Linked DNA regions of Arabidopsis thaliana. The protein of the gene in region 1 interacts with the protein of each later gene in a biochemical or structural test. Each region holds a gene or a part of one and is shown on either strand. Other genes may lie near its edges.

Region 1 (6,875 bases):
TCTCACCGTCCAACCAACGGTGTCCCGCGCCGCTACCTCTGCTGATGTTTGGGCCACTCTTGCTGGTACCTATGCCAAACCGAGTCGTGGCCATATCAAACAGCTCCAACACCAAATCAAACAATGGAAGAAAGACACCCGCACCATCGACGAGTACGTTCAAGGCTTTATCAATCGATTTGATCAGTTGGCATTAATTGGCAAAATCATTGACCATGAAGATCAAGTTGATTACATTCTCGGGGGTCTGCCAGAAGACTACAAACCCATTGTTGATCAGATGGAAGGACGTGACACACCACCAAATGGATGTTTAACAAACAGTTGTGACGAAGATGGATGTTTTATCCAAATGGCTTTGAATAGTGTATAGAACAAGCAACAAGCCCGATTCGGCCCAAACCCAACCCCATTTAATCATATGTGGTTTTAGTAGTTTAAATAAGCTACTTTGAGTCTTTGACAACTGTTCTTCATATCCATCATAAATTGTGTAGCATTTTACATTTTACATTTTACGTTTGAAACTTAATCATAAGTTTTGTGAATCAAAGTTAATTGATAAAAAATCACTCTTAATACTTTTCCACGTCTACATCACTGTCATTTTCATTTCAGACTTGAGGCATTCATTTTTCACCATGTTTCAGGAAATATACTGCAATTTCTTACACGTATAGAGAGGTCCTTAATAAGTATGAGTAGCTATATCGTAATGTATTTATACCAATGTACTTTATGCTCACACGTGTTCGGTGTACATATAATATGTTGCATGTGGCATTTCGGTGCCTAATTATCAAGTTTTTACCGAAAATAAGGGAAAAGTATATAATCATGTAGCCTTTCAGACACCGACAAAAATTTTAAACAGTAAATACGATTTTTCTGTTCTTCTTAAACAGAAAATGATTAAACATGAATGAAACTTTTAAAAGCTTATTTTGACGACGTGTTCTTTAGCCAAATAGACGACATTTAAACACATCACCGGACCGGAAAAACACCAGTTGAAAATAAAATAAAAAATGTATTTGTAAAAGTCTGTTATTACAAGAAAATATGGTCGATCGTTCCATGTTTAATTGTGTTTCTTGACACTTTTTAGTTCTTATAAAACACCTTTACTACATAACTTGATAAGTTGGATGAGAATAAAGAATTATAATAGATTCTCATAAAAATAACTTTATAAGATATATTCTCTCTTATATATATATATATATATATATTATGAGATTTCCTAATCTAAAATAAAAATAAATGTAAATAATATATATAAATATTACTAAAACTAATATATGTTAATATTTTAAATCTTTCTACAATCTTTATGATTTTTATATTGTTCGACGATCATCTCAACCATTGACTCTCGATCTCCAACTACAGATAAAGTAAAATTTTACCAAAGAAAAGTCTAGTGACTCATCATACCAATAAAAAACACACAACACCTAGTTTTACCAAAATAAGACTAGAAATAGTACTATAGTAGTTATGGGACGATGGAGTGATGGTTTTGCAAAGCAAAAGCCAATAATTGTACATTTCAGGCCGAAACCGACAATGACCCCATCCTACCCATGTGTCATGCATTCAGTATTTATTATGTGTATCAGTCAAATTTTCACATAATGACGAACCATCTACATACAATCTATGGCGTGGCCTGTGGAGGGCAGGACAAACCGACATAATATTGTGTATATCCACTGAAATTTATTATTAAAAAAAACTAATACAATGATAAGTACTAGTATTAGTGATAAAAAAAACTTATACAACGTTGTTTTCATCTTACAATTAAAGATATTCATAAACGATAAATCTCTACTTCGAAATTTTTTAACATCTCCAAATGTTTGTTCAAGCTAGTAGTAGTCCACATAAAGTCACGTTGGGGTTTCAGGCTTTCGTTAAAGATTCACACCGTCGGATTGGGATTTCCAGACGTCACAGATAGACTTATCTTCTTCGTTAAATTTAGAATCCAAAGATTATTGTCTGCACACTCGTTATTATCTAAAACAGCCTTTTTTAGTTAAATTGACGATATTTTAGTGACATTCCAATTTTAAAATTCGTATGGGTCTACATTAAATGAGTACAGCGACCAACTACTCCTTCCCTCATAGTAGTATTTAGGTATTGCATTCACATTACATAAGATGTACTTTCCTACTCTATATAAACTCTCACTCCCCTAACACTCTTCATCATCCATCACATCTCCTCTTGCAAACCAACGTAAAACACTAACTAAGAGATCAATATGGCTGGAGTGATGAAGTTGGCATGCATGGTCTTGGCTTGCATGATTGTGGCCGGTCCAATCACAGCGAACGCGCTTATGAGTTGTGGCACCGTCAACGGCAACCTGGCAGGGTGCATTGCCTACTTGACCCGAGGTGCTCCACTTACCCAAGGGTGCTGCAACGGCGTTACTAACCTTAAAAACATGGCCAGTACAACCCCAGACCGTCAGCAAGCTTGCCGTTGCCTTCAATCTGCCGCTAAAGCCGTTGGTCCCGGTCTCAACACTGCCCGTGCAGCTGGACTTCCTAGCGCATGCAAAGTCAATATTCCTTACAAAATCAGCGCCAGCACCAACTGCAACACGTATGTGATCTTTTCACTCTTATAAGTATATGTTATAAATTTTTTAGTTTATTTTGTTAAATATTGGAAACTTATATTAACGTTGTTATGTTAATTTGTATGTGAATGCAGCGTGAGGTGATGAGCGACGGTCAAATGAAGCTACTAGCGGATGTTTCGAATATTATATAATCGATGAGATAATATTAAATAAAGATGTTCGAATGGCTGTACTCTTTTCAATTTCCTGTCTTTTTTTATCGTGGCGTTTCTATTATGTGATCGTCTGTACTATGTTCGCAAACAACGTTCTTTGAATTTCAGACTTGAAGTTTAAGTTATTCTATACTCTATATCTATACTAACACTTACTTTAGTTTAATCGATATGACCAAAATGATTAACTTGCATTACAGTTGGGAAGTATCAAGTAAACAACATTTTGTTTTTGTTTGATATCGGGAATCTCAAAACCAAAGTCCACACTAGTTTTTGGACTATATAATGATAAAAGTCAGATATCTACTAATACTAGTTGATCAGTATATTCGAAAACATGACTTTCCAAATGTAAGTTATTTACTTTTTTTTTGCTATTATAATTAAGATCAATAAAAATGTCTAAGTTTTAAATCTTTATCATTATATCCAAACAATCATAATCTTATTGTTAATCTCTCATCAACACACAGTTTTTAAAATAAATTAATTACCCTTTGCATGATACCGAAGAGAAACGAATTCGTTCAAATAATTTTATAACAGGAAATAAAATAGATAACCGAAATAAAGATAGAATGATTTCTTAGTACTAACTCTTAACAACAGTTTTATTTAAATGACTTTTGTAAAAAAAACAAAGTTAACTTATACACGTACACGTGTCGAAAATATTATTGACAATGGATAGCATGATTCTTATTAGAGTCATGTAAAAGATAAACACATGCAAATATATATATGAATAATATGTTGTTAAGATAAACTAGACGATTAGAATATATAGCACATCTATAGTTTGTAAAATAACTATTTCTCAACTAGACTTAAGTCTTCGAAATACATAAATAAACAAAACTATAAAAATTCAGAAAAAAACATGAGAGTACGTTAGTAAAATGTATTTTTTTGGTAAAATAATCACTTTTCATCAGGTCTTTTTGTAAAGCAGTTTTCATGTTAGATAAACGAGATTTTAATTTTTTTTAAAAAGAAGTAAACTAACTATGTTCCTATCTACACACCTATAATTTTGAAACAATTACAAAAACAAACAATGAAAATGCAAAGAAGGACGTAGGCACTGTCACACTACAAATACGTTAATAAAATGTATTTTGGTCGAATTATAACTTTCCATACGATAAAGTTGAATTAACATGTCAAACAAAAGAGATGAGTGGTCCTATACATAGTTAGGAATTAGGAACCTCTAAATTAAATGAGTACAACCACCAACTACTCCTTCCCTCTATAATCTATCGCATTCACACCACATAACATATACGTACCTACTCTATATAACACTCACTCCCCAAACTCTCTTCATCATCCATCACTACACACATCTCCTATTGCAAACGAACATAAAACACTACCTAAGAGATCAATATGGCTGGAGTGATGAAGTTGGCATGCTTGCTCTTGGCCTGCATGATTGTGGCCGGTCCAATCACATCGAACGCTGCGCTAAGCTGTGGCTCAGTTAACAGCAACTTGGCAGCGTGCATTGGCTACGTGCTCCAAGGTGGTGTCATTCCCCCAGCGTGTTGCTCCGGCGTTAAAAACCTCAACAGCATAGCCAAGACGACCCCAGACCGTCAGCAAGCTTGCAATTGCATTCAAGGTGCCGCTAGAGCCTTAGGCTCTGGTCTCAACGCTGGCCGTGCAGCTGGAATTCCTAAGGCATGTGGAGTCAATATTCCTTACAAAATCAGCACCAGCACCAACTGCAAAACGTATGTTAATCTCTCTCACTCTCTCAGATATTTAAGCTATAATTTGTTTCTTTTTGGGGTTAAATATTCGAAAGGTTATATTAACGGTGTTATATTAATTTGTATATATGTGGTTGCAGCGTGAGGTGATGAGCTAGCAACGGTGAGATGATGCTACTACCGGAAGTTTCGAATCCTTATTATATAATGGATGAGATTAATATTAAATAAGATGTTCGAATGTTTGTTTTTAGAGTTTTTAATTTCTTGTCTTTTTCTATTGTGGTGTTCTTGTTATATGGGTTTGTCTGTACTATGTTCGCAGGCAACAACGTTATATGAAATTTCAGAGTACTTGAAGTTTAAGTTTTTCTATATTCTTACTTATTAAATCTTGCATTAGTTTAATCGATATGAAACTGATTAATCAATATCGAGTATGGCAACATTTTGTGTAATAACGGAAATCTGAGGACCAAAATCCACACTAATTTTCGGATTTGTGAAAAGCTAAATATTCGTCAATAATTGGGGACGTGATGGAACCAATTTATAAGAGGAAATAAAGTAACTCCAAGTTTCTATTTCCACAAAAGGATATAATCTCCAAGTTTGTAGTAATATTGAACACGTGTTTAGATAACCGAGAAAAAGATGGATTGGTTCCATAATTAGTGTTAAAAACTCTTTAACCCCAAATTCATGAAAAACCAAAGTTTAGTTATAGAGACATACGTACACGTGTTCAAAGAAAATTATTGGCGATGGAAAATTGGGTGTATCTGCATTTTCGTCATTACCGTCCTTTACATGGAATTTTGGTAGATCCTGCTTTAAATGCCTTCACTTCTGCTTCTCCCAACCATAATAAATTGATATGGATGCGATCCATTGGTATTTGGTAGATAGATGGTATTATTGTCCCCTCTTAATGGATTTCTTTTTAATTTTAAATATCTAAATTTTGCCTGAACTATACATAAATTCCGTAACTATGTCTATAATTATCATCTCATTGTTTCAAAGTGATACTTTTCTTCTGCAAACAATAAAATTGTTGAAGTCAGTTGTTGACTCAAGGTTTATTAGAACAAAAGTCAGGTTTTTAGCTCATTAAAGTCAACCGGATAAAGACGACCGGTCTAATTCGGTTTGGGATTTAGAAAGACTCTATATCGCTCAGAGGGTCTAACGCAGACGCTTTTCAACTTTCGAGATATTTTTCTTAGGTATATATTTCCAAATGTTACGGCGTCGTTTTCAAAAACATATTTTTGTTGTTGCGTAGTAGTCCTTCGGAAATTCTTTGCTTCCTAGTTGAAGCACTCACAACACACAGCTTTTGTAGGAATCCCTAAGCTTAAAGTCTCTATTATTCTCTAATCTCTTCTTCGCCGACGACTTCTCTCACCAAGGCGACGTTTTGATCAGGCGATGATGAGTATCCCAATGGAGTTAATGTCTATCAGAAACCCTAATTCCACCTTGCTCTATAGAGCTCACTCTCGTCCGCCTGTGAAGCTCTGTGCTCCACCTCGTTCTCTCCTCCCTAGCCGACGCCATTTCAGTGCTCCTCGAGCTGTTGTTTCGTATCCAGGAATACGTTTCGGCTTTACCTCGCCGGAAGTCTTGCTTAATCGATCCGTCGTTGCTTTCGCTGCATCCCACGAGGATTCGGTGAGTAGTGTGGTTGTGCTCAAAACTTCTAATTTCTCTGTTGGGTATCTCGAAATTCAGATGCTTTATCTTGTAAATTGCTTGAGGCTAGAAAAAAATTGGACTTTGGTGAAATTTATTTGATTAAGCAATATAATCTGCCAATTTCAAGTGAGGTGCAATTTGGGGTTTGAAATTATCAAATGATCTGTGATTAGCTAAAGAACATGTTTTGATTATTACCCTTTATCGCCATTGTTCAAATAGGGAGAATCAGGTGTTGAGGTGGGGAAGGAGAAGAGTGATATAGATGTTGAAGATGATACATCTAAGGAAGCATGGAAACAAACTCTTGAGTCTTTTAAAGAGCAGGTATCAAAGATGCAGAGTGTGTCATCGGAGGCATACTCCGTTAACTCCCAAAAGGCGATGACGGTCTTGAAAGAAACTTCTGAACAACTTAGGATTCAAGCGGAAAAGGCGAAAGAAGAGTTGGGTACTAAAGCGAAAGTGGTTAGTGAAGAGGGTAGAGAATATATTTTGAAAGCAGCAGAAGAATCTCCATCAGATGTGAAAGAGATTGTTGAAGCATTTGCCTCCACTGAGGATCTGAAAAATGTGTCCCGAGCGAATGATTTTCATGTTGGAATACCTTATGGTAAACATGTTGTATATCTTGTT
Region 2 (5,709 bases), on another chromosome or scaffold:
TCGACCATTAGTTCAACATATAGAGATGATATCAATGAATCGTCTATCGATTCTCCTTTTTGTTTTCGCCTTTGGTCTTACCATGATGAGTAACACAGCCTTATCGTACAAACATTCCGTGTGGATCAGAAACTTTCTTCATGAAAAAAACGATCTCATAATCCATTGCAAATCCACGAACCATGATATGGTATACCATAGGTTGCATCCAACAGGATCGTACCATCTGCTAGTTGATGATGATTCCGACTATTTTTGGTGTCATTTATGGCAAGGACCTAATTTCAAGCATCACCAAGTTTTTGGTGTTAACCATGGAGACGTATGGGAAGCTAGGGAAGACGGAATCTACTTCTCGCAGATAAAATATGCTCGAGATCTCCGTCAGCATGTGTTCATGTATGGGTGGAATGTTCCTTTGACCTTGTCAAGAGCTTCCTCGTTGGGATTGTGTTGTGTCTCTTTAAGCTTATTACTCTCTTCCTTGGTTTTGTTTTATTTTTATCTAGTTTTAGTTTTGAAATTTATTTTTTTTATTATGAATTTTAAAAATTTAATTTTTATTTGTGTTGGAATTTTTTTATTTTCTTTGTAACCTATATGAACTTGGATATTTTTTTTCTTTCTTACATTAATTAAGTACGTAAGTTTCGACAATCAAGAATAGGGTTTTGTTGATTCCAATCGTGTTACCCAAAAATTAGAATAAGGTTTGTCCAACAATTTATTAAATTTGGTCTTAGAGTTGTATACGAGCCTACGAGGTATCTTTTAGATATGCCGAAGAGATGGTAGTGCGAAGAAGAAAAGAAACCTCATTTTCCATGGTATTAAGGATTTCAAGCTATTCAAACTTTTGTAGTGACCCAAATACGTGTAGAACTGGCCCAAAGACAAATAGCTTAATTAAGATTATCACCTAATCTTAGGTATTGGTGATAGGTGATTCGCTCAAGCCTTATGATCAATATTAGCTCCATATTATGGAGAGTGAGCAGCACATACTCGTAGATAGAAAAGTATTGTTGCTCGAGTAATATTTTTCTGATGATAATTGTGTTTCGACCACTGTTGGCATCTTTCACACATGAATACATGATGTACATGTACGACATGCAATCTTTCTCTTAACGCTCGACTGCTGTCTGCTGTGATGGATCATCACAAGTAAACTTTGTGAAGCATATTTCGTGAGCCAAATGATGTTAGAAAACAATCGTGTGAGCCAAAGGCGTGAGAGCGCTTGTAGAAAGTGGTTTATGTTGTAGTTAAAATAATCCGAATATTCATCTTCCGGAAAAAAGTGAAGTTCAACCTCTCAACGGTACGTTTTTATACCTCAACTAAGTTACATTGTGTATATCAACATCAGCTAACTTTTTATTAATATTTCGGTTCACAATATCATTATCTTTTTCAAAATTTATTAAGATTTCTTTTGCTCATTTTATTTATGTGAATTTTAAAAATAAAATAATTTTTATAATATAGAAACAAAATATTACTAAAAGTAATTTTTAAAAAATAAATAAAATTAATGTCATATCAACGAAAAATTCATAGTTTATTAAAGTAGTAAATATAAAAGTAATAATATTTTAATTATTTTGGTATTAAATTATACACTTTTATTAATATATGTATTTTCTTCTAAAAATTAAAAATTAATTGGGTTTTTGTTTGGAATTTTTCCGACTTACCTTTTCTCCTTCTTTTTGTCGTTTTGCTTAGATATTTGTTTGCATCATTTTCAAAGAGAGACGACTCTGAATCCAAAAAAAAAAAAAACTCATTAAGTAAAGACAAAGGAAGAGAAGAAAGACGATTTCTCGAAGAAGCTATGGCGGATCAACTCACTGACGAACAGATCTCCGAATTCAAGGAAGCTTTTAGCCTCTTCGACAAAGATGGCGATGGTTAGATTACCTCTTCTTTTACGCCTTTGATGGTTACATTACTGGATCTCGGTTTTTTTTCCATTTTCGTCTTCTATCGATGATTTAGAACGGTGTATCTCGTCCTCCCGAGCTTTGAATATGTGTTTATTAGTCGCTAATCTCTTTAGATTCGGAGGTATTGACCTTGTCGTTTGATCTGTTTTTGATCTTTGACCGAGTAGTTTCGCTTTTTGATCTTCGATGGCTTTTTGTATATGATTGAATCGATTTAATAGCTTGCTTGTTGTCCTGTTTCGTTGATTTGCTAGCTTGGATCTGATTTATTTTTTCGTCTCTTACGTTTTGTTTGATTTTTCATCTTCCATGATTGTTTTGGTCGTATGTGTTTTCGAGTTTGCTCTTAGTTGATAAAGAATCTGCTATCTTTTTTTCTTCGAAGTTGTTAATTATCTGAGTTTTTTTTTGTGTTCTCAACAATTCTACCAAAGAATGGGAAAAAACTATGTGCTTAAATGTGATTTCGAATCTTTTAGAAGCTTTGATGGTTCTTCTTGATCTCTCTAGGTAGGTTTCAAGGTCATGTTGCTCAGATTTTCTCTTGATTTCTGAGTTGTTTGTTATACTAGTTGATGTAGTGTTTGTTCTCTCTGATCTAGGATTTGATTTCAAAAGATTATCAAATTGTTTGGAAACTACTCCTGAATTGTCTCATGGTTATATCCTGCTTATAGTAGCTCAATTTGTGTAGATTTGTTTGTTCACTCTTTAAGAGATAAGCAAAAGATGTTCATTCGCTTTTGCATCTATCATTGCTTTTACCCATGACAAAACTGCTTTATCATTGCTTCCATTGAGCATTTGAGTATAATATGTGATGGGTTCTAAAATGTAATGCTCTCTTAATTGTGGTTACACAGGTTGCATCACAACAAAAGAGCTGGGAACAGTTATGCGTTCACTAGGACAAAACCCAACAGAGGCTGAGCTCCAAGACATGATCAACGAGGTTGATGCAGATGGAAACGGCACTATCGACTTCCCCGAGTTCCTGAACCTGATGGCTAAGAAGATGAAAGACACTGACTCCGAGGAAGAGCTAAAAGAAGCCTTCAGGGTTTTCGACAAAGACCAGAACGGTTTCATCTCCGCTGCTGAGCTACGCCATGTGATGACCAATCTTGGTGAGAAGCTAACTGATGAAGAAGTGGAAGAGATGATCCGTGAGGCTGATGTTGATGGAGATGGTCAGATTAACTATGAAGAGTTTGTCAAGATTATGATGGCTAAGTGATTTGATAAAGGTGATGATGATGATGATGATGACCTTTTTATGCTTCTAGGAGTTTAACCAAAAACATTTGCATGATTGGTGGAGATATGCTTTTAAACAGACATAATTTGTTTTTCGTTCTTTTGATTTTCTGGTTTGTGACTTTTGTGTGTAATGGAAAATCAAGTAAGTTGGATTGAAACCGATGGGTTGGGTTTTTACTTTTTACCCACATTTTGTTGCTTTTTTGGTTTTACAAAAAAAGAAGAAGATAAGAAATAGAGATGAAAAATATGGCTTTAAGCTGAAAAAATTAAGTACTAGTTAAAATTATAGTTATATTAAAATGTTCTCTTTCTGATTTACTGTTTTAATCATTTGAGCCACTCGTCTGAACTGTACGTCTCTATACGTGTGTACGTTAGCCACAAAGAAAATGATTCGCGGGCAATCACTTCCAAATTTGTGTCTAATCAAACTTTTAATTTTCATACGACAAACAGAGGTCGCTGAAAATTTAGTTTTAAGTATAAAGTGCTTTTCTTTTGTCAATTAGTTTTAGTATAAAGTGCTTTAGTGTATTATTTATTTGGATACCAAGTTGAAAATTGATGTTGGACTAATAGGAAAATGACACATGTAAAAACACGAGGTTGGTATTATGCCATTGGCCACCATAAATTGTCGTGAAGTAGTAAATTTCAAGACAAGTTTTAAATTAAGATTTTGAACAATACATTCATATTTTTAGTAACTTGTTATTTATACTTAGACTATATAATTAAGTATTCGATCTATTTAAATTTATATTAAGACATTATTTCCCAAAAAGTGTGAGAAATCATATATATGACAGGAGCTCAACTCTCTCCCACAATATTACACATCAGCACATGAAAGGAGAGGTTGCCACCTACACTTCTTAAAATAAGTAATACATAATTAGTAATTAATTCAACATATGAACCTATCATAAGTCAGAACTTCAACCATCACTCTTTCTATATTTTTTAATTTAATATATCTTCTTTTATTTTTTTAGGCATTTGGGTAGAGAATATGATGAGTACATTTTTGGGAATTTTTACGGTATATTACCATAATGTTTTCATAATATTTTTCTCAACATGTATTAGAAAAATTCGAATGTTGTGGTAACAGAATTGGCCGTATTGTTAGAATGTGGGAAGTTCATACCGGAAATACGTTCTGCCAACGACCGTGATGTATTCCTTGAAAACTCACTCTTCCTGCTAGATGAGAAGGTATAATTGTCCAATGACTAACATATCAATTTATTTTTCTAACATAAATCTCATATCACACTCATCATATATCTATCTTCTCATCTTTCTAAACAGAATTCCTTAATTCGTTGCTTCATTCCTTCATCACTTGTTGAAAAATACAATAGTATTTTCCAAGAAGGAATGATCTTACAAAAATAAATACAATAGTATTCTTTCATCATTCCTTCACTATGTTGCACTGGTAATACAATAGCCTTCGTGGCGTCACAGTAATTTATACTTGCATTATCCACACACATTACAACTCATATTTAAACTATAAAAAAATTAAGTTAATGTGGGAACAACTATGCACTATACTATTGTCAAAAAAATTACGCCATTTGATATAAGTTCTTAAAAACAAACAATTATCTTACGTCATAACTAAAAAGTTACCTGTTAGTATTGTAATATCAGAAGTAATTATAAAAAAAGACCAAAAAAAAACTCAAACACATTGTATCCACAATTAAAAGAAAATGTATTGTTTTGTTAGTATGGAGTGTAACACAAATTATATATAAAATATATATTCGATCAGTATGTCATGTTTATTTAGGAACAAAATTTACCTCATTTAGAATTAATAACTGTATTACTTTATTCAAGTTATTAGCGGAAGAATGGACGCTCCAGAGCCTTAGAACACCTTCAATGGGGGTTTCTAAAAATGTTTTTTAATAAATAATAAAAAATATATATGATTTAAATATTACATGAGTCTCTTAAATTTGATGAAATATAGGCCAATTGTCTCTTAGTTAAGAGATAATTTGTCTTACTTTCACCAAATTTAAGAAACCCATAATTAAAAATATTATTTATTTATACTTACACTTTATTTTTTTTAAGAGACTTAGGATTAAAAACTACCATTGAAGATGCTTTTAAAGTATGAATGTTTAGAAACTTACAACCCATCATGTGGTATTAAAAATGAGTAAATAAATCCACAATAAATCAAATACGCACGATTATAACTTAACTAACTCATTTATAATCTAGACGTTTAAAAAACCCTACAAAAATTCCCAATCAGAATAACGTATATACCCATTTCTAAACAATAATATCCATTTAAGAAAAATAAATACTCTTTCAAACTTCTAATCATTCCAACTAGAATATTACATAATGTAAATATTTATCTTTATATATATATGACACATATTCACTACCAAAATAGTTTAATCTTTGTAACCACCGTAAGAGTATCTAGAAAAGTAAGTCTCTCTTCTCAATAACTTTT

Evidence for each region. The genes of interacting proteins can lie anywhere in the genome.
Region 2: the proteins of LP1 (region 1) and CAM1 form a complex in vitro, tested with the Arabidopsis thaliana proteins (one study listed by BioGRID).

The regions. Positions count from the first base shown.
Region 1 is NC_003071.7:16,126,206-16,133,080, forward strand, and holds LP1 (lipid transfer protein 1), read left to right. Parts: upstream 1-4,084; 5' UTR 4,085-4,212; coding exon 4,213-4,559; intron 4,560-4,678; coding exon 4,679-4,688; 3' UTR 4,689-5,035; downstream 5,036-6,875. Other genes in the region: LTP2 (lipid transfer protein 2), read left to right, coding at 2,276-2,622, 2,734-2,743; AT2G38550 (Transmembrane proteins 14C), read left to right, coding at 5,973-6,215, 6,462-6,852. UniProt on the Arabidopsis thaliana protein: Plant non-specific lipid-transfer proteins transfer phospholipids as well as galactolipids across membranes. May play a role in wax or cutin deposition in the cell walls of expanding epidermal cells and certain secretory tissues.
Region 2 is NC_003076.8:15,002,249-15,007,957, reverse strand, and holds CAM1 (calmodulin 1), read left to right. Parts: upstream 1-1,752; 5' UTR 1,753-1,840; coding exon 1,841-1,916; exon of another isoform or gene 1,917-2,028; coding exon of another isoform or gene 2,029-2,073; intron 2,074-2,533; coding exon 2,534-2,611; intron 2,612-2,815; coding exon 2,816-3,189; 3' UTR 3,190-3,431; downstream 3,432-5,709. UniProt on the Arabidopsis thaliana protein: Calmodulin mediates the control of a large number of enzymes, ion channels and other proteins by Ca(2+). Among the enzymes to be stimulated by the calmodulin-Ca(2+) complex are a number of protein kinases and phosphatases.